Linked DNA regions of Yarrowia lipolytica. The main gene of each other region encodes a partner of the protein of the gene in region 2 in a complex. Links are inferred from orthologs where the notes say so. Each region holds a gene or a part of one and is shown on either strand. Other genes may lie near its edges.

The links.
Region 1: YALI1_F37734g (region 2) and YALI1_C30399g share a complex: the UniProt entries of both Saccharomyces cerevisiae proteins name them as parts of the nuclear pore complex. The link is inferred for Yarrowia lipolytica from reciprocal best matches to the Saccharomyces cerevisiae genes SEC13 and NIC96.
Region 3: YALI1_F37734g (region 2) and YALI1_B02874g share a complex: the UniProt entries of both Saccharomyces cerevisiae proteins name them as parts of the nuclear pore complex. The link is inferred for Yarrowia lipolytica from reciprocal best matches to the Saccharomyces cerevisiae genes SEC13 and GLE1.
Region 4: YALI1_F37734g (region 2) and YALI1_D23693g share a complex: the UniProt entries of both Saccharomyces cerevisiae proteins name them as parts of the SEA complex. The link is inferred for Yarrowia lipolytica from reciprocal best matches to the Saccharomyces cerevisiae genes SEC13 and SEA4.

The regions. Positions count from the first base shown.
Region 1 is NC_090772.1:3,037,209-3,045,396, reverse strand, and holds YALI1_C30399g (uncharacterized protein), read right to left. Parts: upstream 5,400-8,188; coding exon 2,691-5,399; downstream 1-2,690. Other genes in the region: YALI1_C30454g (uncharacterized protein), read left to right, coding at 1-214; YALI1_C30440g (uncharacterized protein), read left to right, coding at 1,396-2,538; YALI1_C30392g (uncharacterized protein), read left to right, coding at 6,120-8,093. UniProt on the Saccharomyces cerevisiae protein: Functions as a component of the nuclear pore complex (NPC).
Region 2 is NC_090775.1:3,770,066-3,776,666, forward strand, and holds YALI1_F37734g (uncharacterized protein), read right to left. Parts: upstream 3,429-6,601; coding exon 3,426-3,428; intron 3,380-3,425; coding exon 2,486-3,379; downstream 1-2,485. Other genes in the region: YALI1_F37714g (uncharacterized protein), read left to right, coding at 1,364-2,260; YALI1_F37742g (uncharacterized protein), read left to right, coding at 4,198-5,601; YALI1_F37770g (uncharacterized protein), read right to left, coding at 5,719-6,601. UniProt on the Saccharomyces cerevisiae protein: Functions as a component of the nuclear pore complex (NPC) and the COPII coat. It is one of 5 proteins constituting the COPII coat, which is involved in anterograde (ER to Golgi) double-membrane transport vesicle formation.
Region 3 is NC_090771.1:283,263-290,564, forward strand, and holds YALI1_B02874g (uncharacterized protein), read right to left. Parts: upstream 4,152-7,302; coding exon 2,292-4,151; downstream 1-2,291. Other genes in the region: YALI1_B02833g (uncharacterized protein), read left to right, coding at 120-1,700; YALI1_B02850g (uncharacterized protein), read left to right, coding at 1,762-1,886, 1,932-2,118; YALI1_B02881g (mitochondrial 54S ribosomal protein uL5m), read left to right, coding at 4,906-5,799; YALI1_B02910g (uncharacterized protein), read right to left, coding at 6,074-7,302. UniProt on the Saccharomyces cerevisiae protein: Functions as a component of the nuclear pore complex (NPC).
Region 4 is NC_090773.1:2,366,865-2,375,270, forward strand, and holds YALI1_D23693g (uncharacterized protein), read left to right. Parts: upstream 1-2,399; coding exon 2,400-5,219; downstream 5,220-8,406. Other genes in the region: YALI1_D23668g (uncharacterized protein), read left to right, coding at 1-276, 329-375; YALI1_D23688g (uncharacterized protein), read right to left, coding at 391-1,902; YALI1_D23721g (uncharacterized protein), read left to right, coding at 5,266-5,393, 5,469-5,574; YALI1_D23730g (uncharacterized protein), read left to right, coding at 6,178-7,311; YALI1_D23753g (uncharacterized protein), read right to left, coding at 7,501-8,406. UniProt on the Saccharomyces cerevisiae protein: Component of the SEA complex which coats the vacuolar membrane and is involved in intracellular trafficking, autophagy, response to nitrogen starvation, and amino acid biogenesis.

The DNA.
Region 1 (8,188 bases), on a different chromosome or scaffold from region 2:
GCACAAGGTCGAGCCCATCGACTCGCCCGACAGATTCATTCTGCGAGGAGTGGTGGTGTCGCACAATGCCAAAAAGGTGGCTGCTCGAATCAAAGAGACCATTGTCACGGTCGACTACAGAAAGGGTGGAGTCAAGGCTCCCATTCCCGACGGAGTGCGCAAGACCCTTGACAAGCTGGCTGCAAAGACCACCCCCAGGCCCGCCAGAAAGTAGACATTATGTATTGTATTAATTGACATTTGATTGAATGAACGAATATAGCGGCACGCTTGGTTGCAGCGATTGCGATAACATGTATACGTATTGTTCTCACTTCATACCGATATACTACTTGTAGATGATGAGCAACCGGGATGATAACATGTTGGAACGGCCACTGGCTAAATTCAGCCATCTGCTGTTAAACTCAGCGCCTTACTGATAACATTTCAGTGTCCTAATGCTTCTACAATTCATTTCAGGACGTAGTAAGGTGTTTTCGAATGTATTTAATTACAAGTACTGTAATTTCAACGATCGAGTAAATTCCAAGAAATCTCCCAACTAAAAACCTGAACACTATTGCCGATTCATGATCAGGCTATAGACTATATAGCTAGAGGAGAGAGATTCTGTTTAAAACATAGACATTCCCTACTGATTGGTGTATTTTTTTGACTCTTTATCCCGTCTGTAGCACCGAGTTGGGACCTCAGTGAACTTTTGTTTTAACAATATCCCAACTAAAACTAGTGAAAGTGAAGTAATATCTGTTAGTGTTACTGTATATACTCATATTTTCTAAGTAGAGTTGTAATTATTAAATATATATACAGTATATATATATTTACTGTACTGGTACAGTACATGCAAGTATATTCAAGATCAATTACTGATGATTACTAACTTTCTACTCCAACTATAGAGCTGTCCAAGACGACATATTCCCCCAAAATACCCGTCAAAGTTTGCAAAGATCACGATACAACTCTTCCATTATCTCTTTCATCATATGCCATCTTCTTGTGTCGGTCGTTCGTCTTCATCGTACTATTCTGATAATACTTGGGTTTACTTAGACCTTCCAACTATACCCCACACAGTCCACCAATTGAAGTAATAATGAATGTATTATGCAGAAAGATACTGCTACAACATCCTGTCTAGTTTCATGTAGTTTGTTGTAAAACACAAGAAGCATGATCCCTTAACCCTTCTCTCTACAATATAGGCGAAATCCGGGCCAACCGTGTCCACTCAGGCGCTTCCTACACGTGAGATGGCTCGTTTATTGCCTGCCAGACGCACGTACTGGACGCACCCCCAAAGTTAATTGACAGTGTAAATGTCGACTTTTAACCAACTACTGTACTGTACTGTACTTGTATCGTCACACTCCCTGTCACACCACTACCATGACCTCTCCTGACCTCTCCACTCTCGCGATTCACGCAGACGACGAACTCGCTCGAACCAACGACGTGGCACCCTCAATTGCCGTCTCCACCACCTTCCGGTACTCCAGCAACCCGGAGGATCTGGTCCCTCTGGCTGAAAACGAAGATGAAGCGGCCTACGGAACCAACGAGTACGTCTACTCGCGGATCGCCCACCCCACCACCTCGCGAGTGGAAAAGGTGCTGTCGACCATCTTCAACAACAAGTTCCCGGTGGTCTACAACAACGGACTGGCTGCGTTCACGGCCCTGATTGTCCACGTCAACCCCAAGCGCCTGTTCATCGGAGAAGCCTACCACGGCTGCCATGCTGTCAGTGACATCTTCAAGCGAATCCGATACAACTTGGAGATTCTGTCGCTAGACGAACTGGACAAGGTGGAGAAGGGAGATCTGGTTCACCTGGAGACTCCTGTCAACCCCACCGGTTACTCTAGAGACCTGTCTTACTACGCCGACGCTGCTCACAAAAAGGGCGGCATTTTGTCTGTTGATGCTACCTTTGCTCCTCCCCCCCTGCAGGACCCCTTTGATTTTGGAGCCGACATTGTCATGCACTCAGCCACCAAGTACTTTGGAGGCCACTCTGATCTGCTGGCTGGAATTCTTGTCGTCAAGACGCACGAGGAAGCCGATCAGCTGGTTGGTGACCGATCTTTCCTCGGATCAGGTCCCGGAAACCTCGAATCGTGGCTACTGCTCCGATCTCTTCGAACTTACAGGCTGCGAATCAAACAGCAGTCGGATAACGCCACCGCCATCACCAAGTACTTCTCCGACCACCTCTCTGACTTCCCCGCGCTCAAGTGTGTCCACCACTCGTCCTTTCAGACCGAGGACTTTGTCAAGAAGCAGCTTGTGGGAGGCTACGGACCTGTTTTCGTGCTGGAAATGCAGTCTCGAGAAGCCGCCCGAGCTCTGCCCAGCAAGCTCAAGTTCTTCAACCACGCCACTTCTCTTGGAGGAGTCGAATCGCTGATTGAATGGCGACTCATGAGTGACGCTACCACTAACCCTGCTTACCTGCGGGTCTCTGTTGGTGTTGAGGACGCCAATGACCTCATCGGCGATCTCAAGCAGGCTCTTGAGGCTTCCAAATAATCTAATACACACTATTGACTCTGTATCACGTGCATTTCTATTGCTAGCCTCAAGAGGTCTGTCTTGCTCAAATTATCCGCAAAAATAGTCACAATCTACGTAACTTTTAATAGCTATTCATACAATCAATTATCTATATCGTCTTCTTCTCCCTACATGTTAACACTGTTGAGATTGGTGTCCAGAGCAGTGAGCTGCGAATAAACCTCTCGAGGCATTCGGTACTGGATCATGCCGGCGTAAATCATACAGTTTCGAGACCGGGCCTTGAGCTCGGCCAGCCGGTCGCACCGAGTAGCATCGTTGAACTCGGACTCCTGGATGTTCTGGGCCAACTCAGCACAACACGTCATAGTCATGAGCAGCAACGAGGGCACATTTCGAGCAGTGGACTCGTGGAGAGACACAAAGTCCTGAGCACGTCGACGAATGGTGCCTACGTCGGCGGTAACGTGGATGGGGATCACATTGATATTGTCAATCACAGCAATGCAATGGGCCCAGTGGCCACGCGAGTACGACTCCCGAGCAGACACAATCTGCAGAAGAATCTCGCAGGTATCTCGGTTCCGCTGCGACACATGCGAGTACATCTGGGGGTTGTTAGTGTATAGTTCTCGCATGGTGGCGGCCAACTGAGCGGGGTTGGTCGCGGTGGACAGCAGAGAAAGCGACTGGGCAGGCTCCACGTTCGAGTCTCCAAAGTCCATCATGCTCAGTGCGTCACCAAGAGTTCGGTTCATGATAGACACGACAGTGTCGTACTGCTCAGACAGCTGATAAAGGAGAATCGCGTCAGCGAACCGACCGTCGTCCTCAGCACGCAGAGCAGCCTGGGCAGTGATCTGAGTGAGGAAGTCGTCCTTGTCCAGACCAATGAGCTTGGACCGACGCTCAATGCAACCGGGAGACCGAGCTCCATCGGCTCTAATGTCACCCAGAAGAACAGAGAACTGCCGAGTCTCGAGCACAAGCTCTCGCAGGGCCTCGTGACAAGCGTCCTCTTGATCTCGGTAGAAACACAGCAGAACAAGGTAGTCAACAGCATCAACAGCATCTGATCGTCGGAAGTCCCGGGTGTAGTGTCCAATCAGACGAGCAAAATGAAGAACCTGTTGGTCCTTCTTGTCCACAGAAAGATATGAGCCATCGGAGTCCTCGGTATCTTCGGGCTTGGAGACACGCAACAGCCCATAGTAAGCCAAAGCAATGGCATAATGAACAGCATCAACGGGACAGAAGGTAAGAGCATAACTGACAGCAGCCTCAAAAAGACCACATAGAAGGAGCATTTGGAAATAGAGACCGGGAGATTTACCAGAGGGGTTGAAATGCTTGGATCCAAAGTTGAGCACGGTTCGCTGCACGTCCAACAGAGTGTATCGATCCTGAAGAGGGCCGTCCACAGTCTCTCGAGAAACAACAAGATGGGCCCACAGCCAGTCCTCAGCAGTCTCAAGAACCTCGGGGAAGACCTTTCGAGACAAGTCGCATCGGCCAATGATCTTGTACAGAGCAAACTTGAAAGGATCGGAATGAGCATCGAGGAACCGAATGTGCTGGTTAAACTCGGTGAGGATCCGATCATGCATGTCACGTGACAGCACGTGATCCTTAGACTTGACATATGCCTGGAGATAGACGGGGAATGAACGTTCAATCTTCTCGAGCGACGACTCAATCTCAAGAGTAAAGTCGAGAGCCTCCTGAAGATGTCCAGATCGAACCATATAGTAAAGAACAGCCCAAACGGGCACTCCGTTCAGAATTTCCATGTTCTCCTTGGTCCATTGGCCTCCTCGGAAGTACCGCACGTTCAAGTAAGCTTTGATTTTGTTGTAGACTGATGGCACGCCTCCCAAAAGAGCGTCCTGGGGAGACTTAGCAATCTCGGCCTCGACACAGGCGTAAAACTGATGCTCAAGATACATTTTAGAACCATGGGAGATCTGTTTTCGCACCTTGAGTCCGTCGGGGCTGCCGGGAGGAGCAGCGTACATCTTTCTGTAGATTCCTTCTTTGGCAGGAGCCTCGACCGACTCTCCAGAGATGTACGACAGAATATCCCATGCATCGTTGAGCTGCTGACTTTTGGCGTCAGAGAGGTTATCGGCTGCAGTGGAAAGAGCTGCGGACACGGGGAAGGCCTGGCCCTTTGATCGGGCATTGTTGAGCGCCGAAATGGCCTTTGCGAATTGCCGTTGTCGTGGAGTAGCAGTGCCAATCTCAGGAGTGCCCAAGATGAGTTTTCCGAGACTCGCGGCGCCCCAGGTGCCCCCCAGGACTGTCTTTGTCAGCTTGTTGTTTGTGTTGGTGGTTGTGTTGTTGTTGAGGTTGTTCTTGTCGTCGTCCTTCTGGATCAGGCCAAAGTGCTGGCAGATCTGCTCCTTGCGCTTGGCCCAGTCGAGGGACACGTTCTGGTTGAGAAACTGGTCAAAATCTGACGCTGACAGTCGTACAGAGTCTGCAATGGCCGCCAGAATGCTGTCCTGCTTCTTGTTCTGCAGATACGAGTCGATGCCCGCAACATTCTTGTCGTAGTACTCGATCCCGGGATTGAGCGTCAGCGACGACAACTGCAGATAAATGTCCTCCGCGTTGATTCCGCTGCCCGCCAGCAGGTAGTGTGCCTTTGTGTCGTTTCCCTCCGAGTGTTTGTCTCGCAACGAGTTTGCTCGCTTGCCGATCTCGCTCAGATCGAGCTGAATTGAGCCCAGGTGCGAGGCGGCGTGGGGCAGATTCTTGCTCGACGCAATCAACTCGTTGAAAAGCGCCACCGAGGGCGTCAACGTCTCAGCCATGGTTGTGATGTGTGATGGTAGGCGTGTAGCGAAATGTGTGTTGTGGTACCAAATAAACATTTATTTTAGAGTTTGAGGATAAGTGACAGATTATGACCGTGTTGAGGGGAACAGGATATATAGGATACTCGTCTGGAACATAGTTAGAAGAAGCAATTATATAGATGGAGACACCGAGTTGCAATTTCATTACGCTGTTACGCTTTCAGCCGTTTCCAGACATCCTTGTACATCAACAATTGATAGTTAGATAAACTCAACAATGTCAACAAAGCTATCTACACTGTTGGTATGCTACTGGACCTATTAGTTAGCTTTACTTAACCTTTTTTTCTATTTTCCCAACAAAAACGTCCCCATCGTCAGTTCCATTATGATCCATCTAACTCCACCAATATTGATCCTACGCGATTAGTTAAACAGATTACTAACAATATATGCTCCTCCTATTTCAATCGCCGTCTTTCTCCTCATATATCGCACCGAAAATCAGCACATTCGTGCCGGACATTATCGTCCCCTTTTTCCGTTTGAGTTTTTCAACACAAAAAATCTCGAAACCCTATAATGAAACATTTTGACAATACTGTAGTCTTGAGACTGTCCACAGTCAGAAGACCCCTCTCACAAAAACCAATTGTCTTGCACAAAAACATTTTGCCCCTCGATGTTCCTCTTTGTAAAAATATCATCTGATTCCGAAATCTAAGCTTCAAAGTCTCAAACTCATCTCCCGATACACTTCCCCCCCCCTCTCCCGGCTCCACAACCCACCTACACATGCGACCGACGATACACAGGCCGGATCTGGGCACTCTGAGAGCCATTCTGAATGGCCACGCAGATCAGGAAACCGACAATGACACGAGAAAAAGGGTCAAATTGCTCAGATACATCATTGTCGACGTGTACGAGGAACTGGTGACCACGTTTGTACCGCGGTGGACACATGCAGACTGGGCCTGGTGTATGAGAGTTGTGGTTGAAAAGTGTCTGCGAGATATCATGCGTATGGGGCTCATCACCTCTATCTATGATCTTGTCTATTCTCTGTTTGTGGGTTATGTGGGAGCTCCTGTCACGAAGGAACGCCTGCTGAGGTTTGCCGGCGGTTACCACAACCCCTCCACCAAGTTCAAGGATGCCTACGATATTACTGTGGCGTATTTCAGCATGTTTGATCACGACGAGAAGAATGTGCAAGAGTTCTTGGCCGAACATGACGAGACTACCGCTCTGGAATACCTTCAAATGGGCTACCTAGAAAAGACACCGATGTTTCAAGAACAAGCGACGGACGATATAGAGGTGCTGGAGACCTATTTCGCTATCCGAACGTACCTCTGGCGAAACGCAAGGTCGGCATACTTTCAACTGAAAAGAGATGGCGTGGAGGTTTATGACTTTGATGTTGTTTTCGAGCAGCAAACCCCTCCTTTTCTGCCGAATGTATTCATCAACCTCGCACTCATCTTTTTTACGGCTTGTGGATGGCTGCCGGTAGGAGACAATGTTGGACTGTTCAGATACCAGAACATGTGGTTGGAGAACAGAACTAAAGGAGACCCGGGACTTCAGGACAAACTGTATGCCTTGTTTAGAGCCCAAGGAAACCCCAGAAGTGACTGGGAAACGTGGTGGAAGAAGCTGAATCCACTTCAGCGAGATGTGGCTCATGATCGCATGACTCTCATAGGTCCTGGACTGCTGGACGTGGCTTCTACGCCCTCACCCAGACCCGTGGACCAATTCCTGGTCATGTTTCCTAGGGCGACAACAGAAGTTAGCCCAACAGTTCAGCATTTTGTGGCAAATCAGCTCCAGATGGGCCAGGTGCTGCATTCTGAGTTCCTACTCAGCATAAGGAGATACAACAAGATGAGATGGGACAGAGAGCAGTCGAGCAGGCTGAAAAAAGATACCGGCACCAAATGGGATGGCCCGAAAGGGTACGAAAAGATTTACAATACGGTTCCATCCGGATATTTTGACAATTTGGTGGACAAGAACTTCTATCTCGATGACTACATCTTTGAGGACAAGGTGTATGGTATTCCTAGCCCCGCTACTGAAGGCAGACTGATGGGATTGCCGTTCCAAGAGCATCTCGAGACACTTCAGAGAACCAAGGAGTTTTTCTTTTTCAAGTCCATGTTCACAGACTCACGTGACAAAATCAACACTTACTACGGCATGTTTCTCCAGGCATGTATTGAATACTCCAACATACACGACCCAGAAATATGGTATAATGAGGACGATGATTGGGTTGATTGGTATGTTACCGATGAGGAGCATCCTCTGGTGGTCAAAGACAGACGACTATTTGTACAGCCGATGCCGTCAGAAGAGAGAACTCTGGTGATAGAAGGAGACGAGTACCATGTTTCTGAAAGGGGGACTGTCTGCTACGCCTATGATCCTGAGGGAAAGCCCATCTATGCGACGGCCTACTACTGCCAAAAAGTGCTGGACAATCTTCTCGGTAAGTGTGCTTTCGCTCCTCTTGTGGGAGTCTGTCACAAGAACAGCAACTACATGGTCCAGTTACCTCGATTGGAGGTGACAGAATACATGGGAGGAGAAACAGTTTTGTTGTGGAGAGGTTACGAGTTGGTGGATTTGGACTTGACGTATTGGCACAAACATCTGGGCCATGCGGACAAGCAGAAGTTGAAGAGGTATCGAAAGGTGATCAAGGGGATGCCACCGTATTTCTGGCAGTCCAGAGCAGCATGTGAGGAGTGTTGGTAGTGATTGGAGGGTATGTATATAGAGAGAGGGTATGGTATATATAGCGAACCGAAGGTATTTATTATATTAGTATATTTAACCTATTTATTTTATTG
Region 2 (6,601 bases):
CATCGCCCTCGACCTTGTGTTATGGAGTGACGGAGATATTGTTGTGGTGGTTGAGCCGTTTGACTTGCAACGGGCTGACCTTAGTATACCCAATACGGAGAGGTCTAGAAGCTGGAACCGCAGATTTACGGTACATAGTAATTAGCAGTGTCAGATGTTCCACGGAACAAGCGAGCGTTGTGTGCGATATTTAATGCGACTTCGCGAGCAAGGGATGGGTACGGGGCGACTAGGGTTGCATAATATCTATCGTATTTGGTGCATGTTGTAGCTATTTTTACTGTGCTGTGTAGCTGATAAATACCGTAATGGTGCCCAGGGTACAAGTACGTACGAGTACTCGTCCGAGTAGCTATCGCAATGGAAATTTGGGGACAACTGAGGAGAGATAGAAACAGGCCCCTTGGAGACGGAGAACCATCTTTCAGAATCACGTCGAGACCAAGTAATAGGGCCCTCTTTCACCAACTCTACTCTCTATAATGGACTCACACAAGCGGAAGCTCAGACCAACAAGAACATGAACGAGCATCTTGGGATTCTGTTGTGTATTAATTAGCAGAAACACAAGACAAGCGGCGGTTCTGAGATGACTGCAAGTAGTAGCGGTGGTTAGCCATACAATACTTATTGTTTAGCCCAAGCACAGCTGTTGCTCTGCTTTAACAGTCAATGTTCCCATCATATCTCGGATTTCAGTACAAGTAGCTACTTGTACTCGTCTCATTTGTTTTTTTGGAAACAGTGCCGGCCCCTTATAAATACTTGTACTGCATCTCATGCAGCCGTACCCGTGAGCATATAGAGGACGAGTGTTTCATCAAGTCGCTCGTTGGTTTGTTTTTGCATGATTACTAATTGAGACAAATATTTGAGAGAGTGATGTCCGAGCTGGAAGTACAGTATGTACATACTCGTACATGTACAGACTCAAACATAAAGAAGAAATCCGGACTTCTCAATGATCTTGCACTATATACCCCTCTTAAGACGACTGCGAAGCCCATCTTCATTATTACTAACACTCTCGACAAAAAACATGCTTATGCTTATCTACCCACTGGTGACAGATGAACTCGAGACCCATAGAACGCCACAGAATCACAGTGAAGCAAAGTCATGATTCTAACAAGCAATTATGTTCCTCAAACACCCTTCAGCAATATTACGAGAACCTCTCGCTAGTCGCCGTCTCTCCACCCAGCCGGCATATCCGCGGCATGTCCAGATATAGTTCACTATCTCAACGCCGTCTACTCTTTCCAACATGGTTTATATGCAGTGGTGGATCCAAAACCAAGCTAGGTAGCCAAATTTCTTTCTCCTGACACATACACACCACATAACCGCAATCACCGACAAAATGACCGATACTTTCGATCTCTCTCTTAAATCAGCCAACAAAATCTCCGACAAGCTGCCCAAGGAGCTCCAGAACCCCCAGATCGGTATCGTGTGCGGATCAGGTCTCGGCGGCCTTGCTAACGCTCTCAAGGCTGAGCCTCAGGTCACAATCGAGTACAAAGACATTCCTGGCTTCAAGGTCTCTACCGTGGCTGGCCACGCCGGCAAGCTCGTCGTTGGTCTGCTGGGTGAGAAGAACGTCCCTGTTGTCTGCATGGTGGGCCGGTTCCACTTCTACGAGGGCTACGACATCCAAGACACCGTCTTCCCCATCCGAGTTTTCTCCCAGATTGGCATTAAGACCGTCATTCTGACCAATGCTGCCGGCGGTCTTAACCAGGACTTCAAGGTCGGAGATATCATGCTTATCAATGACCACATCAACCTACCGGGCCTGGCAGGCAACAATCCCCTGAGAGGCCCCAACGACGAGAAGTTCGGAGTCCGATTCCTACCTCTGTCAGATGCCTACGACCATGATCTGCGACGAGCCGTCTACGACATTGCCAAGAAGCAGGGCGTGACTCGAGGCATCCACGAAGGTACTTATGCATTCGTCTCCGGACCCACCTATGAGTCTCGAGCTGAGGCTCGAATGCTATCTACCATTGGGGCTGACGCCGTCGGTATGTCTACAGTCCCAGAGGTGATTGTGGCTCGACATTGTGGAATCAAGGTGCTTGCTCTGTCACTCATCACCAACGTTGTCGTTCTCAAGAAGCCCGACAGCGCTCTGAACGACAATGCTGCCAAGCTTGATGAGGGTATTGCCGACCACAGCGAGGTCATGGAGGAGGGTCAGCGAGCTGCCGATGATCTCGTTGGCATCGTTACCGATCTGGTTAACGTTGTTTAGTTACTAGTTTAGTCGACATTATCTATTTTACTGTGTGACCTGTAGTGCAGTTATCTGGCAACTGTATGGGTAGGTGCCTCCAATTGGTGATCTCGAGACACGATCTTTACATAATTGAACATAGTAGGAGGTTTTTCTACAGTATTTATAAACATTGAAACCCGTATTCCCATTGCATGTCACTACAATTTCTCCCGACAATACTCATACATATATTCTCTATGGTTACTCCTCGACAACACCAGCGGACTCCCACTCGCCAGTGAGATTCTCCTTCCACAGAGTGACCTTGTTGTCGCCTCCAGAAACTGCCAGCACGTTGCCGGACAGAGACCAGCTAACCTTCCACACCACATCGGGGAAGGGGATGTCCTGAAGCAGCTTCTTCTTCCATGGCTGGTTGCCCTCCTGGGTCCACACAATGACGGTCTTATCCTGCGAAGCGGAAGCAATGTAAGACTTGGACAGAACAGAGGAAGACCAGGCAACGTCTCGAACCCAGTCCTTGTGGCCAGAAAGTGTCTCCTCAATCACGTAAGTCTTGGAAGAGGGGTCGTACTTCCAGATCTTGACGAGGTTGTCGCATCCTCCAGTGACAATTCGAATGTTGTTTGATGCTTTGCCGTTGATGGGCTGAATGAGCGAGCCGGACACGGCAGGGGGAGCCCAGGAGGCGGAGTTGGCGCCCACATCATGGGCGGCGAAAGTGGTGGCCTCGCAGTTACCTCCCTCCTTGAACTCGACTACGGACACGTTGCCGTCGGAAGAAGCGCATAGGAGTAGGGGCCCGTACTCCTGGGGAGCCCACACCACCGAGTTGACGGAGGCATTGTGCTGATGCTGAGCAATGTTAGTCCATCGACCGTTCTCCTCTCGCCAGATGAACACCTTGCCATCGTAGGAGGCAGAGGCAATAATAGAGCCGAACTTGGGATGGGCCCAGCTGACCTGCCAAACGGGGCCCTCGTGTCCTCGCAGCGTCTCGACGAGTTTGTGGTTGTCTCCATCAATCTCGAAGATCTTGATGGTCTTGTCAGACGAACAAGTGGCCAATCGCTTGCCGTAGTAGTCCAGGACGGCGTCGTGGATGAGGTCGTCGTGCGTGTTTCCTATGGTCACCTGGGTTAGCTGATTGCCGGATCATAGCTGTCGTTTCCATACTCACCATTCTGATGGATAGTTAGATATGTCGTGTTCTCACGTTTGAGTTCAGTGATGTGTGTGGTGGGTGTGTCCTTGCATACGGTACTCGTAACCTGTTGTAGGGACAGGAGCGACGCGGGAGGGAGGGACAGGCAATTTCAGTTGACACTCTGACTCAAACCACCATGGGATTAATGTTGGTAATTCACCACTTTCTATCATTCATTTCATCATTCCTCCTACATTGAGGTGTTGTGCAACGTGTACCTGCAAATTAAAGTTGTAAACGTAAGGGATCATCGAAGAGACGTGAGGTCGTGGAAACAAGTAAACACGTAACCACGAGGGAGTGGATGTTGATAGAGAAAGTGGTGGAGAGGTACGAAGAGGTATAAAAAAGCTCTAGGATAACGGATCAGACAAAAAAAAACAGCTCTAAATCAATAGAAGGGATGGTTCACTATGGCTTGTTGTCAGCTTGAACGAAAGTAAAGTAAAATACTTAACGGTAAACCAACCATTCGCATACTGACGCACAAATAATTTCTGTCAACCGTGAACATATTCTTTTGACCCAAGTATTTCGAATTGGAGGAGAACTAAGAGAGTGAAAGGTTTTCAAAATAAGAGAAAACCCATGGTTTTGGTGTAGCCATTCAATCACGCACTCCTGTCATATCAACCATAGCCATCTCTTACCTCACTCTCCTCCAGTATCCATTTATGTAGAACTCTAATAAGATCTTGCATGATATGACAAACTGACCATTGTTGATACGGCAATCACAGTGGATATGACGAGCCAGTTCAAAAACAGCATCAATGACTACCTGGAAGGTCTTCCGGAGGCAGTACTAACTCGGCTGTACCAGTCTCCGGCCACATGTCTGGCGGTGTTCCGACTGCTACCTGCTCTGGCAAGAACACTCATCATGGGCATGATTTTCAACCCCGATCCCATAGCAGTAGCCGACGTCGACGCTCTGGTGAAGCCTTCAAGTCAGCGACTCAAGCTCGAAACACAGAAGAAACTGCGACTGCTCCACATTTTCACAGAGACCCAGGCCCATATCATCATTAATCCGACATTCAAAAAGAACCTGAGGGCAGCTCTGGTAGGAGGAGACCAGAACATTTCGTTTGGAGTGCCCTGCGACACGGAAGACAAACACAAGGTGGATGTGGCGTTTTTGGATGCTCACGCTGTCTCTCAATGGGAGATGATCTTACATTTTATGGTCGGAACGTCGATTGGAAGAACACCCAGTGATGGAGTGCTCAACCTGCTGAAGCACAGTGGACTTATGGAACCCGAACGGGGAGGACTGAGAATCACCAATGCAGGATTCCAGTTCTTGCTACAGGATGTAAATGCTCAGATTTGGACACTGTTGCTCCAGTATCTCAACATGTCCGAGTATCTGCAGATGGATCCTGTAGACGTGCTCAACTTCATTTTCATGCTAGGTTCTCTCGAGCTAGGCCAGGACTACTCGCTCAGTGCACTCTCCGAGACACAGAAACACATGCTGGAGGATCTGCGGGATTACGGTATCGTCTACCAGCGAAAAGCATCGTCTAGACGATTCTATCCTACGCGACTGGCTACTACTCTGACATCAGAAACGGCTGCACTTAGAACAGCCAGTCAGAGCATGGAAGCAGCTACACAAGACACAATTTCGTCTTCTGTTGCTGCCGACTCTGGATTTATCATTCTGGAAACTAATTTCAGACTCTACGCCTACACAGAGTCTCCACTACAGATCGCAGTACTGAACCTTTTTGTCAATCTTAAGACACGATTTGCAAACATGGTTACCGGTCAGATCAACCGAGACTCGGTTCGATTTGCGCTCTCAAACGGTATTACTGCCGAACAAATCATCACATATCTCTCTGTTCATGCACACCCACGTATGAAGGGGATGGAACACGTTCTTCCCCCTACTGTGGTGGATCAGATCAAACTGTGGCAACTTGAGATGGACAGAATCCGAGCCACCGACGGTTACTTGTTCTCCGAGTTCAAAAACTTTGACGAGTACAAGGATGTCTCCACTTATGCCAAGGAGCTGGGCGTTCTCTTGTATGAGAATCCTGGAAAGCGAAAGTTCGTGTCTACGCTTGCTGGTTCTCAGCAGATTGTTGAGTTTGTCAAACGACGAAATCAAAAGCACCGTAGCTCCGCAAACTGACCAACTAGAAATTGACCATCAAAACCATAGCATATAATAGATCGCACTAATAAAACAAGCGATGTCAACGTTGAAGTTATTCAATCCATACTATATACTGCCCAGACATTTCCTTCATTAAAGCCCATAAGCGGAGGAAAAAGCACTGTCAATATAGACAGTGACAGCATCGCTGGACCCGTCGGGGCTGAGTCGCTCGGACTTTGCCAAGTCTCGCACTAGCTCGTCCAGTTTGGTAGATTCACCCTCAAGCTCAGCGACAGAGCTGTTCATGAGGAAGCCGGTGACAAGGTCGTCGACGCCGGCAGCAAGCTTATAAATACGGGAGTTGACACTTACAAGTCTGTCCTTGGAAGTGGCATCAGCATCAGCCTTGCATAGAGACGAGTATCGTGATGCCAGAGCCTGAACGAGCTTGAATAGGGTAATGAGCTTTGCATGCCACTTCTCAGCCAAAGCAACAATTTCGTCGCTTCGGGAAGTAGGGGCAGCGGGAGCAGCAGGTTCTGCCTCGTCATCAGTGTCTTCATAGTCGTCCAGTCCAAAGGGATCATCATCTTCGTCATCAGCATTATCCAGCCACTCCTTGAGCTCGTTAACAGCATCAGTCATGACCAAACAGGTCTCCTTGAGACGTCTCTTGGCGACGTCCAAGAATGGGGTCTTGCAGAACTCCTGGACGGCGTTGCAGTATTTCCAGGTCTGAGCTACTCGAATCAGTTGCTTGGAGTATGCTTCAGCAGCAATCTGTTCCTCTTGCTCCTCAGCAGACAGTTCGGGGCCCTTGACTTCCTCCTCCACAGTGAGGTTGCCAATTGCATCAGTCACTTCGTCGTCACTGTCACCTACAGGCACGTTATCAAGCATAGTCTGGGCAGCCTTACTATCCATCTTCAGAAGAGACTGGACAACACGGCTGAAAGTCGAAATACCACCACAGACATCTCTAAGCTTAATACGAAGCTCCTTTTGCATCAATTCGTGAGCATCACTACTGTCA
Region 3 (7,302 bases), on a different chromosome or scaffold from region 2:
GCTGCTCGTACCCTTCCCCCAAAGTGGAACGAAGTTTATCTGGATGGATATAAGAAGAGAGAAGCCCAAGTTGGACCTCAGCAGCGCCTCAAACCACATCCACCGACCACCACAATATCATGATCCAGTCGGTTTTCTTGGCCTTGGCCATTCTCATCGCCTATCTGGGGTTTGCAGAATGGTTTTCTCGATTCCAACACAGACGAATCTCCAAAAAGAAGGGCTGTGGCATGCCTCCCATGGCAAATGGAGGGTTTCTGGGTTGGTACGGACTCTATAAGACGTACCAGATCACGTCAGAACGCACATACCCTCATTCCATGCGAATGGGCCTCGAGGCGTTTGGCCATACGTTTGTCTATCCTGTTCCAGGTACAGACATGCTACAAACGATCCATCCAGACAACATCAAAGCGATTCTGGCGACCCAATTCAAAGATTTTTCACTGGGAACCCGTCACAAAATCATGCTGCCAACTCTCGGAGACGGTATCTTTACTCTCGATGGAGAGGGATGGACCCATTCCCGAGCTCTACTGCGACCTCAATTCGCCCGGGATCAGGTCAGTCACGTGGCTTCTCTAGAGAGACACATTCAGGTGCTTTTCAAGACCATCAAGAAGGAGAACAAGGAGTGTGATCCTGCCAAGGGCTTTGATATCCAGGAGCTCTTCTTCATGTTGACTCTCGATACTGCCACAGAATTTCTTTGCGGAGACTCGGTTGATTCCTTGACCGACTACTTGGCCGACCCAACTGCTCCCCAGCTCGACCACTCTGGTATTGACGAAAATGTGCGACGAGCTTTCCCTGAAGCCTTTAATACCGCTCAGTGGTTCTGTTCCATTCGAGCCAAACTCATGAAGTTGTATTTCTTCGCTGGAACCGTCTTTTACCGAAAGAAGTACGCCGACGCTAACAAGATTGTGCACGACTTCACCGACTTTTACGTGTCCAAGGCTCTGGCCGCCAGAAAAGAAAAGTTCCAGGAACTCGACCAGGAGGGCAAGTACATTTTCTTGTACGAGCTGGCAAAGGAGACCCGAAACCCCAAGGTGCTCAGAGACCAGATGCTCAACATTTTGCTTGCCGGACGTGACACCACCGCATCTCTTCTTTCCTGGGTCATGTTCCGAATGGCTCGTCAACCTGAAACTTGGAAGAAGCTGAGACAGGCTGTGATTAATGATTTTGGTGATACTCCCGACGAATTGTCTTTTGAGTCACTCAAGCGATGCGAATATCTCCGATACGTGCTTAACGAAGGTCTGCGGCTTTATCCTTCTGTTCCCATGAACTTCCGAGTGGCCACAAGAGATACTACTCTTCCCAAGGGAGGAGGTCCTGACCTTGACCAGCCCATCTTCATCCCAAAGGGCGGTATCGTGGTTTACTCTGTCTATCATACCCACCGAGCTGAGGAGTACTGGGGTAAGGATACAGAGGAGTTTATTCCTGAGCGATGGGATCCTGCTGAGGGCTATCAGATTGCCCGAGGATGGGAGTATCTTCCATTCAATGGTGGTCCTCGAATTTGTCTAGGTCAGCAGTTTGCCCTTACCGAGGCTGGGTATGTTTTGGCCAGACTTGCTCAGGAGTTTGAGACTGTGACCAGTTGTGATGATAAGCCATTGCCTCCCAAGTACAATACCCATTTGACCATGAGTCATGATGATGGTGTTTGGTTGAAGATGGAGTAGAACGGTCACTGACTAAGTACATGTTATTTATTATGTTTGATTACGCTGTTTGAATGTAGAGATGGGGTGTGGGGACAGCCGCTCAGTAGATCCCCTGAAATGTGAAATAGTTGACATTGGTATAGCCATACATACTGTAGAACAAAGTGATGGTCACATGTTCACAAGGCCGTCGAGGTGTCCGACGTGAGAGTCTGAGCATGACAATCCAACAATTTGATCTCCTCTTAGTTCTTCACTACCGTACCGACTTGTCATACGACTACGTACCATAGGAGGTCATGTTGAGTCCACAGGATACACTCCAGACTGTTATATAAATCAATCAAATGCCATCGTTATAGTGAAAAGTTGCTCTAGTTATCACGTCGTCGCATCAAGACGACAGTCTAGCCCATACCTAGGTCAGCAGCCGTAGATTTCATAAAGACGGCCATGAACACCAAATCGTCGTAGCGAGCAGGATATGTTGTCAAAGTCGCCATGCGCTTCTCGCGTACTTTGGTGGGTACATTTTTCGAGTTGAGCTCTCTGTCCGTTCTTGCTCGCTCTTGCGTGCTCTCGTCCAACCCCTTCTCCAATCTCTCCTCATTAATTCTTCGACATTGGCGTAAGTCCCTTCACATTACCTGTCTTCTGCCACTCCTCACCCATCAATCTCAGTCTCGCACCCGCAGGAAACCTCTTATCTCCGCAACTAGCGGTCCAAGGATCCCATGCAGCGTGCAACATCTTTCTGCCCTGTATGCCGTACGTGGCCAGGAATCTCACAGCAATCACCTCCCACCATGAAGCGGCAACCGTGAAATGCGTGTTAGTCAGTTTCTCTGTCTCCGTATTCAACAACCTAGCAATCATGGTCCAGCTGTAGGAAATGGGTCTGGGGTTTTCGGCGGGTGCAGTAAATCTGATCTGGGTGATAGCAACATACACTGAAGCAATTCCACCCATTCGCTCAGAGTACACAGTCTCGTCTTCCCACTTTCCTCCAGGCTTTCTCCAGGCCATGCGTTCTCGTCCTTGCTCGGTGTCAATGTCACAAGTGAAGCCAATCACAAAGGGACATTTCTTGACGAACCGAGCAACCATGAGATCGGTGAGCTCCGGAAACACAGACATGATCTTTGCGGCCAACATTCCTAAGGGAAGGGCACTCTGAGGAGCGACAATGGTTTCGTTTTCAGCCTGTCGAACAATGCTCTTGGCAAAGAAGTTGAGGAGCCAGAGGTAGACGAGCTCACTGTGCTGCTTGGCCTCATTGAAAATCTGTACAAAGTCTTCACTGATCTGTTTTGTGTGTGTAACTGAAGGCGTGAGCTGTCCGAACTTGGGGTTGATTTGGCGCTTGCATTTATTGCACAATTTCTTGACTTCGGCATTGTTGGCCACCGGTTCCTTGATGTCCTTCTTGATTTGTTCAATTTTGGCCTTCCACTGGAGGAATTCCTTATCGACCGCTCTCCAGTTTGTAAACTGGCCCAGTTTGTCCTTTCTGGCTTGTTCTTCCGCTTCCAGACGTTCCTTTTCTTCCTTCTCTGCTTTTTCCTTGGCCAAACGTTCGGCTTCGATTCTCTTTTTCTCGGCCGCCTCCTTTTCGGCCTTTTCTTTCGCAAGTCGTTCCTGTTCGAGTCTCTCAGCTTCCTCCTTCTCTTTCGCAAGTCGTTCTTTTTCCTTCCTCTCAGCCTCCACTCTCTCACGCTCAATCCTCTCACGCTCCTTCCTCTCGGCCTCCAGCCTTTGCCGCTCTTCTTCCCGTCTCTCAGCCTCCCATTGATCAACCAACCCGCCCACAATCACGCTGTTTCTCTTTTCCCGCTTCTTGGCCAGCTCATCAGATTGCTTGAGCCGATCGTCTCCCATCCGAGACATAAACACAGACTCCCGTCGAGCCACGTCATTGTGTCGTTTGAGCTCCTCAGACGCCCACACGTCCTCCACATGTTGGAGTTCCTTCTCGACCTGAGCTAAAGGAGCTCCCCAATCAATGGCAGCCGCAGGGTCGACCGGGGAACCCAGAGACACACTGTTAACACTGGAACCCCGTCTATGACCCCGCTTGAAATTTCCAACGGGACTCAGATGACATTGATCAAGGATAAGTGACACCCGGTTCAATGTACCCTCCCACTCTGCACAAGACAGATCGTGGATAGAGCGATATGAGTCTTCTTTGACGTCCTGAGTCTCGTCTCTGTGCTCCTGCTTCAAAGGAGATGACACTGCCGGTTTCGTCGGCCGAGTCGGACTGTTCGAGGCACTGTACTCCGTTGCAAATCTCGACTGAGAAGGAGTCTTCCGAGGAGGCTTACTGGGTGTGCCTTCTTCCTCCAGAGACATCTCGTACTGACTGATTTCCTGCGACAGCTCCTCATCGTCCCATAGCGGGTCGTATCCGTCTTCGAAATTCGGAATCCGCGTCAACACCGCCGGTCTCAATGGGCTGAATTTCATGGTCCTGGATGTGTCTTGATGGATTCAGTCGGCTATACTTTTTTGATACATGCAACTTAGAATATGCAGACCGAGCTGTATGGAGGGTGAAGCAATGTGTCTTGAAACGATACTAGAAACAGTGCGATTGAAATGAGAGTAACATCAACTGGATCATAGACGTCACGTGATATTTTACATAATCTATGACTGTAAGATGACTAACTAACGACCTCTTTGATTACTAATTAACCGCCCACCCACATCCCACTTCACAGTCTTCCTTATCAAGCCCAAAACACAACTCCAATACTGCATTGTAATCACCGGACAAGAATGTGCACGCCAAAAAGTCATGTAGGCGTATATTTGGTACTTACTAGTGGACATCATTACTGCGCCAAAACAGGAGATAAAGAAGGGATATTACAAAGAATTTCACCATATACAGACTGCTATTCGACTGTTTATGTGTTTTCCTATTTTTCCCCGAGTTCTGGAGAGATTTTCAAGGCAGACCCAAATATTCACGCCAAATTGCTAATTCTGTGTATATTCTAGACCGGGTAGTTTTGTTCGGGAAATTTTCTATATTAGAAGTCAATGATGTTACCAATACAAAGCCCATGTCGGTTGATTACTACTAACTAGTACCCACGCCTTTTTTTACGGATAATCACTTGCGTTTTTCATCCCTGCTTACTAACTCCCAAAGTCAATAATTTTCACTCACCTTCTTGTGCTGCGTTACACATCACGACCCTCACAACTCACAATGTCCGTGGTCTTCACCCGCTCCTTCCACGCCTCTGCGGCCGTGTCTCGAGGCGCCAAGATCTCGATCAAGCCGCCGGTTCACCATCTTTACAGATACAAAAAGAACATTCTCAAGCCGGCTTTCACCAAGACTCTTTTGACCCACCCTGGATCGATTGAGTCCAACAAGTATGTGCCCAAGAACACCCGTGTTGACCGGGTTGTCGACCACTACAACAACACGGTCGCGTCAGACATGCTGCTGATGGGCTATGTCCACGAACAGTCCGTGCGAAAGGGAAATAAGCACCGACCATGGGACTTCACTTCGCCCTACCATCTTGGACGACCTGCTCAGCCCCCTCGAGGTCCCAACAAGACCCCCACCAAGGACGTGCACCCTCGAACCTGGAAGAACATCCCTGCCATCACCAAGATCACCATCAACTGCACAGACCCCGGCACTGTTCTTGACCACGAGAAGGTGATCAACCAGAAACTCCTGCTGCAGCAGATCACCGGCTGTGCTGCTAAGGAAGTCCGGTCCCGGTCTAATATCATGACCTGGAAGCTCCGAAAGGGCTACCCCATGGGCGCCAAAGTGGAGATTACCGGCGAGAAGATTTCCGACTTTATGACCTCGTTGACAGAGCTGGTTCTGCCTCGAGCCATTGGATTCAACGGAATTCGAAATTCGTCTGGAGATAGAAACGGAAACATCGCCTTTGGTCTGATCCCTGAGGACGTCAAGAACTTCCCCGAGGTCGAGGCCAACCAGGACGCCTACCTGCAGATGTACGGAATGCACATCACCATCCACACCACCGCCCAGGCTGATTCCGAGGCCCGAGCGTTGCTGTCGGCTTTCAACTTTCCTTTCATTGGAAAGGAGAAGCATCAGGGACGATCTTAAGCGCTAATGAATGGCCTTTGGTCGCGAGTGGACTCCATCCTATCGACGACCAGGTAAATACCGGACACCCAAAAGAGTACAGATTTGTATATAGTGAGCCATGAGGCTAATAAGATGATGAATTTGAAAACAGACAGAAATCTTGCGAGTACTGTACATACTCGTAGTGACAAAGGTCTGTTGTCATAAACATTGTAGCAAACCAGATCAATTATACATACTGTACAGTAGCTACTATACCATCAAATTACTCTACCATCAAATCACTGTACCATCAAATAACCACCAACGACAGGTTGCTGACATTTTCGTCACTAACACTGGCTTCTCTGATCTTTTCGACTTCAAGCTTCTTCGCAACTCCAGTATCTTCATCAAAGCTCTCAGAAAGACCCTCAATAACGACTCCCTTGCCAGTTTTGTCGCCATTATCTTCATTATCATTCACCAGCAGAATTCCGTTTCGCAGACAATCTCGCTTCTCGTCTCTCTTATAAAAGTACAAAATGACTACCGCCATAATCGCGCAACAACAGGCACAAGCTGCGCAAGTTCCGTATCCCTTTCTGAACCTGGGAGCTTCAGAAGTGGGGAATACAAGCACCGACACCCATGCTGATGAACTCTGGCCCAGCATATTCATCATGACAAGCACTATAGCGTAGTGTTGTGGATCTCGTCTCATGATATCTGCCCACCAAGTGTACATGATAGGACTCATGGCCCAGGAGATGTACTGGAGACAAAAGGCAAACCATTTGGCCCCCTCTGGAACGTCCCAGACAGCCAGAATCACTGCTCCGATAGAATTGAACATCTGAGTGATCACTATACCGCCCCATCTGCATCGTGCAAGGTCTCCAAACAGAGATGCCAGGTAGACATAGGCGAAACCTAGACCAGGAGCAATTGTGCTGAGCTGGTTGACTTTCTGGTCGGTGTATCTTTGGTTTCCATTGGAATCAGTCAGGCTCTTCAACCAGAGAATGAAGGTGCCCGCGTTTCCACTGGTGTTGTTGTAGAAGAAGCAGGAGATGAGAATGGCGGTCGGGAGATGCCAGGAGGTGAGTAGTGGTTTCCATAGTGACCAATCCGTCAGTTTCTTGAGTTGCTGGCCCTTCTTTTCCGTCACAAAGGGCTTCTTGCGTTCCCTACATCGGATGATTTCCTCGTCAGTCAGAAACAGAGAAGTGCATTTGTCTGGCGTTCCAGGGATGATGAAGTACCCTACAACAGCCAGAGGGAGAGTACAAATGGAGTCAACGATGAACACCCATCTCCAGCCCTCAAAGCCTCCCACTCCGTCGAGATTCAGAGCTGCACTGGCTAGCAGGCCGGAACTCAGCAACCCCAGAAATTGACCCATGTAGAAGAAACCAGCTCTTCGGGCCACCTCCGAGGGCTTGTACCATGAGCCCATGAGGTAATAGATGGTGGGAATAAAGCCGGACTCGAAAGCTCCAACCAGAAATCGCAGCGCCTTCAGAGCACCCACCGAGTGCA
Region 4 (8,406 bases), on a different chromosome or scaffold from region 2:
TGGCCAACTGTATGAAGGTATTCAAGCTTCTGGCCGATGCCCAGCAGTTGATGGTGGCGTCTGGAGCCATCCAGTCAAGTGGAAGCATGGCTCTGATCTCCATCATGGACCCTGCTATCTCCCTTGGAGTCGCCTACTTGGCCTACACTCTCTACGTTGACCCTCAGAGGCGAGCAGATCTGCTGCACATGTACGAGTCGCTTCCTCAGTTGGCTCTTCAATGTTGTGGAAATGTATCGCAAGATGGAACGGGGCTTCTTTCCCTGGAAAACCTGGGTCTGATGGAGGGTGAGAGCTCTATAATACACTCACACAGATGCGTCACTAGAACTGCGTCTCACAAGAATTGCCATTCTAAAGTCTCCACCCGCTTAAGTAGTAAAATGCGAATTAATATGTACAAACTTCTCCTCTCAATCGGAACGCTCTCTGCCGATTGTCCTTCATTCTGAGTCCTCGTCTCAGGTAGTTAATAATGAGCGAAAACCGCCGCAGGGTCTCGGCATGCACCCGCGCAGTGATGGACTCCTCATACTCGGGCACCCGTCGCTTGCGCGACTCCAACGTCTTGTAGCAGTCTCGCTCAATGTCCTCCATTGCCTTGATCAAGGCTCGAGATTTGATATTCATCAACGCAATGTCTGACGCGAGCACCGACAGCGTGGAAAGATCTCGGTAGAACTCCCACACAATCCTGATCATAGTGAAGTACACGTCTGTGGACACGGTAGCAAAGTAGAGGTTGCCGGAACGGGTTTTGACGGCGTCAAACAGAGCCACGGAGTCAGCAGGGGACTCGAACTTCTCCACCAGAAGCTGCAGAGACTCGTTGAGCAGAAGAGGGAACCCGGCAGCCACAGGCGGCAGTTCAGAGGGGAGGTTTTTTCTGCTCTGGCCAATGTCCTCGATCTCATCGAGCTGCTTGTTCATGAACTCAAGAATATCGTAGTCAGAATCCAATCGAATCAGCTTCTTGAGTTGCTCCATCATAGCAATTTCCACCTCGGTACATTCCTTGAGATCCAGAGAATCAATCCGATCATGTCGAACATCCATATCGGGCTCGGCACAGATCTCAACAAACATGTCAGGAACACCAGAGTTGAACAGATTCACATATGGCGAGTTGATAGAGGAAAGCTCGACTCCACTGGCTTGTCTGATAGCATCCAAGTTTGCGGTTTCACGGGACTCGTACTCAGACTCATGTGACATTGGTGGCGTTCCTGCTCCTGTTGCTGTCTCCGTAGCCGCTTCTTCCCCCATAACTTTTGCAAAAATCTTTTCAAACGGCGCAGAGCTCCCCAGAGCTCCTCCAAACTCGGACGGGGGAATAACGTGTGTACTTATTTGGTCGCTGTTGCCTCTCAACGGCGACATATCCAGGTTCTGGGGCATGACATATCGGTTCTTAGGCTCTTCGGGGAACATATCAGACTTTCCCCATTGATCGAATCCGCCGGACCAGTCGAACGTGGCATTGTTGTGATCGTCTTGGCCAAGCGCGTCGAATGCCTTGGTCTCGTCCTCCATGGCATCGAATTTGAATCGGTTGGTCTTGTTAAATCCGGAGCTGAAATCGTCGAAACCGATATCTGAGCTGTCCAGGTTGTCGTCGTTGAAAGAGAACTTGCTAAATGTCAGGGGATCGTCGCCCTGCTCTTTCGTGGCTTTCTTGAATGCAGCAAACGGGTCCTTGAACGAACCCCTAGCCTTGGTGGAGGGAGGTTCAAACTCGCCAATAAAGGTGTCTTCATAGTCGGATTTTTTTCGCAGCACGTAGGCCGAGTGCAGGAGCCGCGTCTGCCGGCCTGTACAAACCTTGTACTGTGCTCTGAGCATTTTTGAGAGCAGTGTCGGAGTAGCGGAGACACTGAAAACGGTGTTGAAAATCAGGTGCATAAAAAAATGATTTGAGATGCACACTGTAACCTTGTTTAGTAGCTAATCTTCCAGCTACGTTTAGTTGGGATATTACTTGGCTTTTTAATTGACTAGTTGATGGTGTGGAGGACTACACTGTCAGTTCTACAGACGATTGTGGGTTTTTGCTGAGTCGAAAATCTTGTCGAATGACCCTCGCTGTCGTTTATACGTCTTACCCCTTGGGCTATCTCGTATACTCTCCTACTGCTAAGCAAAACACATTGTGTTCTCCAGCCCGAATCGAACTCACGATAACATCCGACTCTAGGCGCCATGCACTATCATTATCACCCTACATCTCCGGACTACATCACAGCATCCCCGGATTTCGACAAGCAGAGTCGACCCAGGGCCCAAACCAAGACGCGACATAGCTACATCTCTGCTGACCTCACCGCTACTTTCAGAATTCGAAGCGGACGTAAATTGACGATTCTACGAGCCAATACCCAACTCAGGTCATCCCCAACAAGATGACGACTTTTGGATCAATCGCTCACGCGTACCAATGGGACTCTCTTCCTGGTCCCGGCGTCGACGGACACCACATCATCGGCGTGTCGCCTACCCGAGACGAGGTGTCGCTTTACCAACTTCCCCTCAATCACAAATCGTTCTTCAAAGACAGCTTCACCGAGCCAGAGAAGATCAGGTATCGAAGCGGCTTTTCGGCGATCCACTGCTCGGCATACTCGCCCGTCAACAAGGGCATCATTTCTGTGGCGCAGCTCAACGGATCGGTGCTTCTATTCGACATCAACAACCCCGAGTCGCAGGTGGTCAAACTACGCTCCAAACAGAGCCGAACCTGCAACGCTCTAGCCTTCTCTGACAATGGAATTCTCGCGGCGGGACTGGAAAAGACACGTAACGACAACTGCCTGCATATCTGGGACGTCAATGCTGTTGTGGAGGGCGGCAATATCACTCCTCTCAGCACCTATCTCCCGAACGAGATTGTGTCGAGTCTGGAGTTCATCCCCAGGACTCATAACGTGCTCTGTGGCTCATACAAGCTGTTGCGTGAAATCGACACCAGATCCGGAACTCCTCTGTACCAGTGTGCCACTCGATGCACTCTAGGAATCACCACCTACCCCCACGAACCCAACTACTTTGCATCCTACGGAGAAGATGGAAGCATGGCCGTCTGGGATCGACGTCAACTGCGACAGCCCGGAGGAAACTCGTCAAACGAGCCGATGCTACTATTTCCACGTCTTCTTTCCGAACTCCCCAGAAAAGCGAACGCTACTCACTTGAGATATTGCACCACCAGACGGGGAGAAATGACCGTCTATGGAAACACAGACTCGTCCATTCGTCGAATCGATATCGGTCTGGCTGTTCGAAGTGATGATGACGTGTATCAGAATCAACAGAACAACGAGCCCACATCAAGTACGTCTCAGAATCGGTTTTTCGACTTCCAAAAGCCACCGTCTGACCCCACAGCTTCTCTTGACAAATACCTGTTTGTGCGGTCGTCCAAGGACGTGGAGATGCCGCTCGACAAGCTTCTGGGCTTCGACTACATCCACGCCGAGCCTGAAAAGTGTCCTGTCGAATACATTTGCATGCGACGAACAGGCCAGGTGTACTGTTTCCGGCCCAAGGAGTCGCCCGAGGTTCTGCGGTTCGATCCCCTGAACACCCTCACGTTCAGCAATGCCACGAACGTGTTTTTTGAGACGCCCAGTGATGAAGTCCGAGAAGTCGATTTCAAAAATCAGCGCGAATCTGTCGTTTCGGTGGTTTCTCCAGACGTGTCTTCTGACGAAGAAGAGCCCTCCCCACGTGCTCGTAACTACAGCAACGACTCTCAGATCGGGCTGATGAAGCTCAGAGACATTTTGGATAACGACATCTCCACCATCATTCGAAAACGAGCTCTGGCCGGCTACGGACTCGACACTGCTACCAACAAGAGTCTGCTCAAGAGCCACAATCACAGTCTCTGGCCTGCCCATCTGAAAAACACGTGGAAGTGGATTTCGCGGGCCCAAAAGGCCGATATTGACCGGTCAGTTGTCTCTGAATTCTTTGACCTTGGCTACGAGGGCATTCTGGACGTGTGGCAGGGTGTCCAGGGTCTTGCTCTGCAGCAGAATCGATTATTGAAAAAGGACGCTACGGAGTCCCAGTTTGCCCAGGCTATTCAGCTGGCGATGGAGACGGAGTTCACACGCAAGATTTACATCTCCGCGTCTGTGGCGGGCACAAAGAAGCAGTTCCAACGACAACTATGCTTGTATGTTGCTGGTTGGGATTTCTCCTACGACAAGCTTGAAGCCGAGATCCAGAAAGCCGAAGGTAAGGGCGAGTACGAGAAGGCAGCAGGTTGGGCGGTGTTCCATGGCAACGTGGAGCGAGCTGTCCAGTGTCTTGCTGGGTCCAAGAAGGAGCGGCATCGAATCATTTCGACCGCCATTTCAGGATATCTGTCTCAATCTACAAATGCCAACTCTTCCTGGCGAGAGCAGTGTCGACGGCTTGCTTCTGAGCTGGACAATGCCTATTTTCGGGCCATTTTCGCCTATATAGCCGATGGAGACTGGCTGGATGTGCTTGCTGAGTCTTCTTTGCCTCTCAAGGAACGCCTGGGTGTGGCTCTTCGGTTCCTTCCCGACAATGATCTCACCAGTTATCTGAACCGACTGGGGGATCAGGCTGTTAGCAGAGGAGAGCTGGAAGGCATTATTTTGACCGGAATCACTCCCCGGGCAGTTGATCTGCTACAGTCTTATGTGGATCGAACTGGTGATATCCAAACGGCAGCGCTGTTGACCTCGTTTGGAGCTCCTCGGTTCTTTGAGGATGAGCGGTACTCGCAGTGGATTCTGTCGTACCAGCAGCTGCTCAACCAGTGGGGAATGTTCAAGGAACGTGCTTTGTTTGATATTGCGCGTACCAAGCTGAGCCAGAATTCCTCTGGATCGGTTACTGCGGTCACCAAGCCTCGACAGGTGTTTCTTCGGTGCTCATACTGCAACAAGAACATTTTCAAGGACGAGTCTAAGCCCGCAACTACGTCTACTCCATCTGCAAAGTGCCCGCATTGCAACTCGCCTCTTCCTCGGTGTGCCGTGTGTCTGCTGACCATGGGAGAAGCTATGCCAGACACCCGCGTTGAGCAGGAGAAGAACAACTTTGCTTTCCACCAGTTTTCGCATTGGTTCAGCTTCTGTCTGAGCTGCAATCATGGCATGCATGCGGGTCATGTGCAGAAATGGTTTTCCAAGCACGATGTTTGTCCTGTTCCGAATTGCAGCTGTTTGTGTAACAGTATTTAACTGGATGGCAATCGGAACGAGTCAACGGAACAAAAAGCCCCTGGTCATGAGTCGACAACTTCCCCAAACCCCACCTCACTGTCCAACCGCTTCTTACTTAACGAATCAACTTATTATTGAAGAATGTGTTTACCTTCTTGATATGGGATCATGGAGCATATACAAGTACATAATGTACTAGAATTCTCGGCTTAGATCCTCCACATACATGCAAGGCCTTGTTGGGTGCTCCTGAAACACCTCTGCGAGTTCCCTGAACTGTTGGAGATGTTGCCTACAGGAGCTCGAAGAAGATATCGATGGGGGGAATGGTACAAGGTCGGAAACGGACCATAGAGGGCTACATGCTTGGTGAGCCTGTTATTGGCGTGTGCAAGACTGGCCAATTGTGTTGTGGCATTCTGGAGAGATATCGAGATGTCCACACACGGGTTGCTGGTGGCTTAGGTAATTATATGCCTACAGTATTTACTTGTAACAATACTGTAGCTTACTTCTAAATCATTTTTATTCAATTAATCTTCAACTAAGACTCTGGTGAGTCAACTAATTAATCTAGTGAGACTGAACATACAATCGCACTATCTCGAACACTAGCGAGGGATATTTGAACAACTAATAGAGAACGACTAAGCCGACAATAAAAACTACTTTTTGTTGTCTCGGAATCTCTCCATCTCGTATCATTCAGTAATCATATTGTTTTGTTAAAACCCGCAACTAATAGTGTCACTACTACTTAACCTACCTAACACCATCCTCCTTACTCCCTCCAACTCAGTCAAAAAAAGCTCAATTGAGAATGGGTAAAAAAAGTCTTGTTTGAAACCTCATTTTATCACCTTTTCCACCCCCATAATCCCTTCATTACCCTCATTACCCTCATTCACATACCTTTCCACAGACCGCCCACTCTGTCTACCCTAACCCTAGTTATGCCATGCATGTCAACAAATAAATGTGGATCATGGCCACCACCACACAAGCACACAAAACACTGACAAAAATGGACCAATCGCCGTTTACTCGGCGTCTGTACGAGGCCGGTACTCTTGATGACATGCCCAGTCCCACTCGTGAGAGCACACCCGGCAATGTGACCTCCAACATGACGACTTCTCTGCCTTCGACTCCTAAGCACTACCAGTTTCGCGAATCTGCGTCTGGAGTGAACTTCAAGGCTTCTCCGGTGACGCCGAAGGCCGGATTCACGCCCAAGTTTGGCGGCCCCTCGACCCCGAACAGATCGACCCAAGCCACCCCCCAAGGCACTCCTACGGGATCGTGGACCCATCCCAGTCTCAAGGTGGTGAAGCAACGAAGCGGAATCAGCAAGGAGGCCATGGTCAAGCGGGTGGTTTACAACGCTCTGAGCTGGCTGGTGTTTGTGCTCTTTCGATCGTTCGTCAAGCGGGTCTTTTTTGACTGGATCGCTCCGAACGACCTCATCCACCTACCCCCAGACGACTCCCCCACCTGGAAGTATGTTCTGTACCTGCAATACTTCATCCAGGGCGTGTTGGCCACCAACATTCTCCAGGCACTCTTCTACCTGGTCCAGCCCCAGGATAAGTACGCCGATCTGCCCATGACGGACGAGCAGAGAGAACTCATGGGACTGCCCAAACTCAACAAGAAAACCGACATCAAAAACGTCCCCACGCCTCCAAAGTACGTGCGAAACTCGCCGGGCTCCATGAACTTCCCCTCGCCCAAACCGCGATCGAGATCCAACTCGACCTCCTCGTCTTCGGTGGGAACCATTTCAGCCTCTCCCGGAAACTCCTCTGTGGACCTTGGAAATCTGTCTCTGGGTCCTTCGGCTTCTCCCCTGAGACGCCATCCTAACCACGTGGTCTCCAATGTGCCTGGAATTGGCACTCCTTCCCCTCTGGGCAAGTCTGGTGTCAATGTCGCCAAGACTATCCAGTCCACTGGAAAGAATTCCGCCGCCAACACCACCGCCAACATGTCGCTCAGCCAAAGCACGCCCATCGGTACCCCCAAGAACAAGTCCAAGCTCAACCAGAGCCAGAGCTTCACCCCCACAGGACGTTACATGTACTACAGTGACTCTCCCCGGAAGGCGTAATTGACCCAACAACCAAGACGAGACCCCATGGACTACAATCCACAATCATACTCGCAAGGAGAGTCCAACTTGCATCTAGAATATAGCTAATTGATACCATTTAATATTGTCATAATTGCAGTAGGGAACTATCTAAGACTCTCTAAGACCATGTCCAAGCAAGCATAATAGAGTCATTTGATGATGTTGCTAACTCCTGGACTCGACTCCCGAAACATCCATGAACAAAGCCACCATCTCGTCTCGATCCAGATCGTCTAGCAGCTTGGAATGTGAAATGTCTGGCATCATTTGTTTGATTCTAGCAGCGGAGTAGCTTCTCAGGTCGTCGTTGCAGGCTTCAAACGACTTCTTCCACAACATGATGGCTTGTTGAACGTCCAGAGCCTCCGCTTTGATTTTGGCCACCGCGAGACTGAGTAGCTCGGGCAAGTCGTACATTTGAGCCATGACGAGAAGATTAGCTGCATCGCCGAAACCGAATTCCAGAGGCTGCCCGTAGAGATATCGCACGGCGACCTCGATGGTCGATGCTGGAAAGGGCAGATCCAGGGAGTTCTCCGTCGCCTCCATCATGTTCGAGTCTATGGTGGCCGAGAAGAACGGCCACAGCGGTTGCAGCACCGTTTTATGGACCTCTATTTTCTGTCCATCCTCACTAGTCAAATGAAAGTCTCCAGGAGTTCCGTCTCTGATTTTGGCCAATCCAGTCTTGTGCACGCTGGTGAGATGTATCTCGTCGGGGTTGTTATCCTTGATGAAAGATGCCAACTTTGGAATATCTTCGTTTTCAAGGGTCTGGAAAACCACCACCGTCCAGCTGTTGTCCAAGAGACAGACTCCTTGCCATAGACGAGACCTCAGAAAGAAAACGTGAGGGTTGACGGCCATGGACAAGACCTTGGGCGGCGAGCTGGCGGAAATGGGCGGTTCTGCGTGGAAACACTTGTCCAAACTGGTATGAAGTAGCCCCAGCTTATTGTCGTAGAACTTCAGATACACCGCTCTGGAGGCGTTTCCGTCGGCCTTGAGGGCGTGCGCAAAGTAGAAGCTTCCCATCTCTTGTAGGGTGCAAGAGGAGTAGAGGAAGGCGGT